Linked DNA regions of Canis lupus familiaris. The protein of the gene in region 1 interacts with the protein of each later gene in a pairwise test. Links are inferred from orthologs where the notes say so. Each region holds a gene or a part of one and is shown on either strand. Other genes may lie near its edges.

Evidence for each region.
Region 2: the proteins of GSTA4 (region 1) and C17H2orf50 interact in binary tests that used the Homo sapiens proteins (3 or more experiments, as listed by UniProt). The two-hybrid records come from large-scale screens. The link is inferred for Canis lupus familiaris from reciprocal best matches to the Homo sapiens genes GSTA4 and CIMIP5.

What each region holds. Positions count from the first base shown.
Region 1 is NC_049233.1:20,685,612-20,689,953, reverse strand, and holds the start of GSTA4 (glutathione S-transferase A4), read left to right. Parts: upstream 1-1,517; 5' UTR 1,518-1,566; intron 1,567-2,524; 5' UTR 2,525-2,542; coding exon 2,543-2,629; intron 2,630-4,342. UniProt on the Homo sapiens protein: Conjugation of reduced glutathione to a wide number of exogenous and endogenous hydrophobic electrophiles. This isozyme has a high catalytic efficiency with 4-hydroxyalkenals such as 4-hydroxynonenal (4-HNE).
Region 2 is NC_049238.1:7,907,787-7,912,260, forward strand, and holds the start of C17H2orf50 (uncharacterized protein C2orf50 homolog), read left to right. Parts: upstream 1-1,605; 5' UTR 1,606-1,758; coding exon 1,759-1,997; intron 1,998-4,474.

The DNA.
Region 1 (4,342 bases):
TTCCCCTTACTCCCTGTGACATGATCAGAAAATCTGTTACCTTCCACCTCCTTCGTATCTCACCTTTTCTTAACCATTATCTTCAAATTCATGGTGCTACTTTAATGCACACGGATATTTAATAGGTCTCTCTCTCCTTCCCACTATCCCAATTCATTCTCCACACTCCTGCCACAGCAATCTACTGAAATTAAACTCTGTGTTATTTGCTGCAGTTGTTCAGCACCAAGGCTTCTCAAGGCAGATACTCTCAGGAGTCCCTCAGGGAGGACATAATATCAACATCTATAGCTTGAGAAATAGCCGAAGCTACTTCTAAAAGCAAGAAATAGTTCTTAAGTCCTCCTGAAGGCGAAGGCGTATACAGTACACTTTGAGATCCATGTCAATTCTGCATTCTGCTCTATAAGATAGCTTTACTGTACTTTTTGAAGTTTTATTTATTTATTTATTTATTTATGTTTTACTTTTTGAAGTTTTAACTTATTTACCAGCCAAATTACTTTTTTTAGCTCCACTGACACTTCTACCCCAATGGCCCCCTTTTCCCATCCAGGGAAGTACTCTATTTAGCCTGTGACTTAGAGTGGTTGTCTTTAAAGCGTATGAAACGAAGAGGGGAAAAAAAAAGAAAAGAAATGAAGGGAAAGCTCAAGATGATCAAGAGAGAAAAGGGGGAAAATGTACATGATCTATAGACAAAATGGGACAAGTTCTAATAATATATGGGTCCTGTTTATTTTGGGGTGTTCTGTTTAATAGTATACATTAGAAAAGTATTTAGGTACTTTTGCCTTTATGCATGGGTTAAAAAAAAAAAGAAAAATCTTAACCTAAGGGTCAAAGTGTCAAAAGAAAGGCAGACTGCCACGTGCAGCGCCTCATTTGGATGTGTCTGGAGTCTTGGAAGCTTGACTACCCTACGTTCTCCTACAAATGGACCTTGAGAGCTTGTTTGGAGGTTCTAGCAGGGGAGCGCAGCTACTCGTATACCCTTGACCGAAGAACGGTCCTCCTCTATCGGGGATGGTCGTCCTCTTCGACCGAGCGCGCAGCTTCGGGAGGGACGCACATGGAGCGGTGAGGGAGGAAGGGGACACCCGCCTAGCCAGCCAGATCAGCCGAATCAACCCTGGCGATCAATGGGGTGACAGATGTCGCAGCCAGATCGCCCTCACATCCGAGAGACCAGGGCCGCGCAGGCGCTATATATGCCTCAGAGACGATTTTCCTTTACACATAGGTCGAGTGGCTGTGAGCACACTGGCTCTCGACTGGGACTTTTCATCTAAGACCGTGACCTAACCCACACTTCCGAGGCCATTCCATTCCTCGTAAAGCTGAAATTTTTGCTCAAAACTGGCTTGATTTGGGGCTGCTCTCATAGTATCCAGAATGCCTTGCAGATGGGTGGGGCATGCTAAACACCGCCGTCCCTATTGGTGAGGCTTGGCGGAGCCTCGCCCACCGGGGCGCCTTCCGGGGACCGGCCGGCCCCGCCCCGCCCCGCCGCAGACCGCTCGCCGAGCGCTTTGTGGGGCTCCGGGTGCTGCGAGCCGACTCCAGGTCTGTCTCCCTGCGGCCGCCCCCACCCGCCCGCTCCTCGGCCCCCAGCCTCTGAAGTCCACCGTCCAGCGCATCCCTCCCTCCCAGGCCCCTTCGGTCCTCTCGTGTCCCTCCCTCCCTCCGGTCCTTGGGCGCCTCCGCCCAGGGACCCCCTGGCTGGGGCCGGGGTCCCCCTTGGCTCCGTGTGCGTATTGTTATTAACCCGCTCCGCGGAGTCCGGAGCCTCTGGTTTCGGTGGAAGCGCAGCTCGGATCCCCCGGAAACTTGGTGAGGCGCGGGCTGAGCGGCGTCCGGTCTCGGGTGGCCACGTCGGAGGCCTGGGGGCACCCCGCAGGCAGGACCCCCGACGCACGTTTTGCAGACAATAGTACTGCCCGGCCCCTCCACCTGCAGGTGCAGCGAGGACCGCGTACGGGGACGCACGGGGATGCACGGGGACGCACGGGGATGCACGGGGATGCACGGGGATGCACGCCTTCTTGCCAGGGCTGCAGAGGGTGCGTCGTGCCCCGCGGCCCTCCACGTCCCGCCTCGCCCCGCCTCGCCAGCCTGATTTTGGAATTTGGAAATTTCAGGATTTTCAAGGTCAAAGGATATGATCTTCCGGATCTAAGAAGGCCCGTGCTGCTGGCACGAACCCCTATCCAGCAAATGTCCCCAGCTTCCTAAGACCCAGAATAAGAAATCCTAAGTAGGAACAGAATGAAAACCAACGTGGTTGTTTCCTTTAATATTTGGAAACGGTGGTAGGTTTTTATTGAGTGAGGGAAAACGCAGTCCTTAAAAAAACAACAATTAAAACAACAACAACAACAAACGATTTCCTGTGCCAAAATCCTGAATATTCATTTAGGCCGCGAGCACAGGGTGGAAGACACGAAATAAGGCTGCTCTTGTAGGAGGAGCTGCGCATTTGGTTGTGTTTTTTTTTTTTTTTTTTTTTCTTTTTTCCTTCTAGAAAGCCTGAAAGGCCATCATGGCAGCGAAGCCCAAGCTCCACTATCCTAATGGAAGAGGCCGGATGGAATCCGTAAGATGGGTTTTAGCTGCCGCTGGAGTCGAGGTACCCTATATGCTGTTTCTTCACAGATTTGCCATACAACTTGGAGACTTTTGAGGAAAACCTAAATGGTGGGGAGGCCTGTTGTAGCCCTCTCCCCCCCCTCCCCAACACAGACATGCTTGGTTGAGTCAGAAGATTCCTTCCTTGCAAGAGTTTTTTTTTTTTTCTTTATAAATGGAATGTGGCTGATGGAATTCTGTTTTACTTTAGACTTTTCCTTAACTGTTAGTTTCTGATCTGCCACCAGTAAGTATTTATTCAGGAGGAGAAAAGGAATGAGCCTGAAATTTGCCAGTTAGGACTTGTTAATTGCCCAGTTTGTAGGTAAATTTCCTCTTCAATGGCTTCCAACCGGCAGCCTTCTTATCGGTCTGAATGTGTGTGGTGTTTATATCTTTCTTTTTGTTCTTTTAGCTTCTTATGTATGGAAATGGTCAACTTGGTACAGAAGTCGAGAAAACATTGCCATAAATTTCCCTCACCCAGTTTCCAGTCATTTGCTTTATGCAGCTCTTGCCTCATCCATCTCCTCCATTTGTTTTGTGGAAATATTTTATTTTATTTTATTTTATTTTATTTTATTTTTTTTTTTTTGTGGAAATATTTTAAAGCAAAATCCAAGCATCACATCCTTTCATCTGTGATGAGTATTTCAGTTTTTATTTCTAAAAGATGAGAATTTTAGAACATAACCACAATACCACAATCACACCCAGCAAAATTAACAATTCCTTATTAATATCTGGACAGCCCCATTGTCTCAACCAGGTCTTTTTATAGTAAGTTTATTCCAGTCTGGATCTAAATCATGCCCCCACATTGCATTTGGTTATGTTTCTTTCAGTATTTTTAAAATCTGTAACCTTAAAAAAAAAAATCTGTAACCGTTCCATCTGCATTTTTTAAAAATAAACTGTATATTTGGGGATAATTTTAAAATTATAAGGTTATAATTAGCAAAGTTATAAAGACAGTGCATATAAAGACTACTCAGTCTCCCCTAATGCTATCATCTTACATAATCATTTCAAAACTAAGAAATTGACATTAGTGCACAACTAAACTGCAGACTTCAAATTTAATTACTTTTGCCATTGATGTCCTTTACTGTTCTTGGCTCCAACCTTGTACTTAGATACTATGCTTCCTTAAGTCCCTCAATCTTTCTTTTATTTCATAAGGTTGACAATTTTGAAAAGTATTGATCAGATTTTTTGTAGGACTCCCTACTTTGGCTTTGTTTGATGTTTTCTCATAATTGGACTGGAATTTGGGGTTTTGGTGAAGACTAGCAAAGAGGTCAATTGCCCTTTCATTTGCATACTATTAGGGGTGATGTTAACATAAGTTATCGCTGGTGCTGTTAACCTTGGTCACTTGGTAAGGTGGTGTCTGCCGGTTTCTTCTTTGTAAAGGGACTATTTTCCCCTTTATTATTTGGAAGCAAGTCATTAAGTTCAGCCCACACTCAAAAGGATGGGAGTTAAACTCCACCTCCTGGAGCGGAGGCATCTGCGCTTAGAATTCTTATGTAAGAGAGATTTGGGGTTTTTTCTCCTCCATTTATTTAATCATTTATTTATATCAGTATGGATTTAAGTATGTGATATTTATTGTATGGTTTGTTTAGTAATCCAATAATGCTTTCTTGCTAAAATTAGCCTACTTTGGCCTTTGGCTCTTTCAGGTTGGCTCCTGCGTCACACCTGTTTA
Region 2 (4,474 bases), on another chromosome or scaffold:
TCTGGGGGAAGAAGAGAGGAGAGAGGACAGACAGCCCCCACCAGCCCCCCAGCCTCTGCTTTGGGACTAAACTAATGTTGTCCCAGAAGGTCACATCACTCGGCGCCACCTCCTCAGGCAAATGCTGGCCGCTGTCACCCCATCTCTGTTCCAGCCCTCGGCCCAAAGCCAGTGCGGGCCTCCCCACCGCTCACCTGGGCCATGGCCGTGGTCACTCCCCTGCTTCTTCTTTCCCGATGCTTCTTTGCCTCAGCAGCGTCTCTCTCTCCCTTGTGCGCTAACTCCAGGCACAGCTCCGACCAGCCCTGTGGTCCTGGGGCCCCACCCGCCAGCCTCAGACCTCGCCTCCTCCCCTCTACCTCCCCCCAATACTGGTGCTCCCTCCTGCATCCATGCTTTTCCTCCTTGCCCCAGTTTTTCCACCTGGCAAATCCTCTTGTCCTCTTCACTCCTTGGCCCCTCCTTCTGGAAAGCAGATCCAGTGCGAGCTCAGGTGCATTGGCTGACCTGTCCCCACACCCTGGGGCACCAGACATACCTCCTCGAGCAGGGCTTTGTGGGTGCTTAGTTGACGGGGAACCCGTTTTCCAGCTATACAGAGAAGGGAGCACCACGCCCAGCTGGATCGGCCCACAGAAGAGTTTCAGGGAAAGATCCAGAAATCTGCCCACATGGACAGGGACAGGGGACAGCCCGAAGCTGGGAGACCTGGCAGCAGGTGAGGGCGGCGTGTGCGAGGAGCTTAGCTGAGCCACAGCAGGAGAGGCCGGAGAGGCCCGGGGCCCAGAGCCACTCGGGCCACACTGGCTGAGAGCAGATTCGCAGCTGGAGGCTCAAAACGCGAATCCCCACCCTCCAGTTCCCCTTGATTCCTTCAGAAAATCTAAATTCAAGGCCAAGCCTCGGCTAGTAACTGCGTGGCCTGGGACAGTCACCTAATCCCGCTGGCGAGGGCCTTGGTTCCTTCCTCTGTAGAACAGAGTCCGAAATACCTGTCCTGGGGGATCCGGAGGGTTTAGCAAGATGAAGGTGGTGCTTTGTAAACCCTCCAGGTTTTTGCAGCTAGACCAGGTATGAAGGTACAGTGTCACCAGGTTCCCCTTGCTGCCACGTGCTCGCAGCCTCCTCCAACAGAGAAGCAGAGCATCGCACTGGCATCTTCTCTGTAGCTCACGAAGCACCTCCATCCACCTTCTGGTGGGAGCCCATGTCCCCAGGGGAGCTGAGCGGGTTATTATGGTCCTTTCACATGCCCCAAGCGGGGCAGAGCAGCTCAAGGCCATGCGGCAATTGGGAGGCCGCGGCCCCAACACACCCCCATCCTGTCTAGGAGCCAGGGTCTTTCCTCACTGCCCCAGAAATCAGGGCTCTGGTCCCCCTCTCCCTCCCCCATGCTGTTTTTGAGGTCTCCGGCCAGGGGGCCAGGGGGCCAGGGGCCCTGGGGACAGAGCTGAGGGGCAGCTGAGCTGGGCCTGGTACAGACGCAGAAAGTCTCTCCACCCGCCCCCCTCCCCGGGTTCAGATGTCACACACACTCGGGAGCTGGCCCGTCCCCTGGACAACCGTCAACACAGGCAGAAGCTCAAAACACAGCGGCTCCAGCGCTCTCCCCGCCGACTTCAGCCACTCGGAGCCTGGGGCCTGGGGGGCGGCGGGGAGGACCCCCGCCCAGGCTCAGCCCGGAGCCTCTCTCTCCTGTGTCTCTCTCGATCTCTCCACTTCTCTGTCTCTCTCTGCCTCCCCATCACACCCGTACCCATGGGGAGCCCCCCCACCCCTGGGCTCCAGAAAACCTCGTCCGCTGGGTACCGGCTGCCCTCAACCAGGCCGCCAGCCGTAGATTCCCGCACTGCCCGAGGTGGCCCCGCGGTGGGCAGGGGTCGCCAAGCCCCCCAGGCCCCAGAAGCGGAGCGCTGGGCCCTGGGAACGAACGGTGTGCAGCGGGACCAGCTGTGGAGGGAGCTCTTGGAGGCCGAGAGGAGGGGCCAGCAGCGTTGGTGAGTGCCCTGCCTGACCCTCGGGGTCTAGGAAGCTTCTGGAAAAAGAGAGACCCATGAGAAGGAGTAAGCAGGCAAACGTGTTGGCGTCAAAGTGCTCGGGCCACGAGTTGGGGAGAACACGCCGGCCAGACTGGAGCCCGAGGGTGGGAGGGAGAGGTGGCAGGGGCCAGGTGGCCCAGCGCTCACTCTGGGGTCCCATCTGCCTTTGAATAATCCCTCCAGCTGGAGCCCCAGGGAGAGACTGGGGGGCAGCAGTGGAGGGGGGGAGCCCTCACCCTCTGACCCAAGGGAGAGACATCCCTTCAGGCATCCGATCAATCCAGACATTCCTGTCAGGCTGCGATGAGGGACAACACAGGCCGACACCTGGCTCCTGGGAGCCCCCAGCTCAGGACTGGGCCACCACAAAGCCAGCCGAGAGACAAGAAATAGTGTGGCGAGTGTCATGGAGCGAGGGGTCGGTGGGCACCTTCTTTCTACAGGCTGCTCACAGAGGCCTCTCTGAGGAGGTGGCCCAGAGGCTGTCGGGAAATGTGAGAAGGGGCCACGGAGAGTCTGGTGTTTTTAAAAACAGAACAAAACAAAGACAGTCCATGTGGCTGAGGCAGTCGGCGAGGGGACAGGAGCCTCAAGATCAGACATAGGGGACACCTGGGTGGCTCAGTGGTTGAGGGCCTGCCTTTGGCTCAGGGCATGACCCCGGGGTCCTGGGATGGAGTCTCACATCGGGGTCCCCGCAGGGACCCTGCTTCTCCCTCAGCCTGTATCTCTGCCTCTCTCTCTGCCTCTCATGAATAAATCAATAAAATATTTTTTAAAAAAAAGAAACCTTTAAAAAAAAGATCAGAAGTAGGAGGAACATGTCATATACTGTAAAAGGTCATATTTTTTTAAATGTAATGAGACACCATCAAGGGTTTCGAGGAAGAGCATGATGTGATCTAGCCTGAGATCTGAGAAAACTCGAGGAATGGCTTCATGGTAGCGTTATGAGAACTGCTGATGGATTAGAGTGAGAGGGTGTGTGGTGTGTCTGTGGTGTGTTGGTGTATTGAGGTGTGTGCATGTGTGTGGTGTGGGGGGAGATGTGAGGCATGGGGGTGTGGCAGGTGTGTGTATGTGTGTGTGGTGTGTATGATATGTGCACAGGATGTGTGTGGGGGAAGTTGTGTGTGTGTACACATGTGGTGTGTGTGTGTGGTGTGTAAGGGGGTGGGGGTATAGGGTGTATGTGTGTCCATATGTGGTGTGTGGGCTGTGAGACTGGAGGGTGTGTGGGGTGTGTGTGGTGTTGGTGTGGAGGATGTGTGTATGTGAGATGTGTGGAGGGGTGGGGGTGTATGGAGTGAGGGTGTGCGTGTACAGTGTGCACAGTGTGTGGGGTATGTGTGTGGTGTTTACGGAGTGTTGGTGTGAAGGTTGTGTGTGGTATGTGTGGGGGTGTGTACGTGTGCTGTGTGGGGGGGTGTGTTTGGGGTGGGGGTGGGGTGTGGAGGGTGAATGTGTGTGGGGTATAGGGTTATGTGTGGGGGGCGTATGTGTATGGTGTGTGGTGTGGAGGGGTATGTATGTGGTGTGCGTGTGGCATTGGTGTGGAGGGTGTGTGTACGTGGGGTGTGTGTGTATGTGTGGTGTGTGGAGTGTTGGTGTGTGTGGTATGTGTGTAGGGTGTGTGGTGTGTGAGGTGTTGGTGTGGAGGAGGTGTGTACCTGCTGTGTGTGGTGGGGTGAGGGTGTGTGTGGTGCGTGTGGGGTGTGGGGGGGTGTAGGCAGGGGTTGGGGTGCAGGGGACACTTAAAAGGAAGGGCTGTCGACACAGTAAGGAGCCTGGGGAGAGCAGGAGCCGGAGACCTGAGCAGAGGTGGGAGTGGGGTCCGGGTCCGGGTCCGGGTCCGGGTCCGAGTCGCCGCGAGGACCGTGGGAGGAGCGCCCTGCGGGGCCGGCGGGAGGCCGCCCAGGAGGCCGCTGAGCATCAGCAGTCAAGAGCTGGACGCGGGACCAGGGGACAGAGGGCCGGGAGGCGGCCGGCATCACGGGAGGGACAAGGGCAGCGAGTGACCGCTAAGGGACGTGGGGTCGCTCTAGGGGGTGACGAAAGGCCAGTGCCGGCCACGACTCTGAATATGTGGGAACCGGTGGACCATCCCCCTACAGGGGTGACCCTCACAACCTGCGTGTGCCCCCAGCGAGGAGGGGCCTGAGAACCTGGCGCTGGGACCCCTGGGCTGTCCCTGGAAGGGGCCTCGTGTCCCCGGAGACAAGGTCTTAGACCCAATGGGCACACGCACTCTGAGATGAGCTGAGATGAGCCCCGGACAAGAAAGGGGTCACAGACCCAAGAGGGGAGAGTTTAGGGAAACCCAACAGAAACACCATGTGAGCCACACACGAAATATTCCATATTCTAATGGCAGCCTTAAAAAATGTAACGAGGAACTAGTGAAATCCATTTTAATGATGAATCTCATCCAAAGT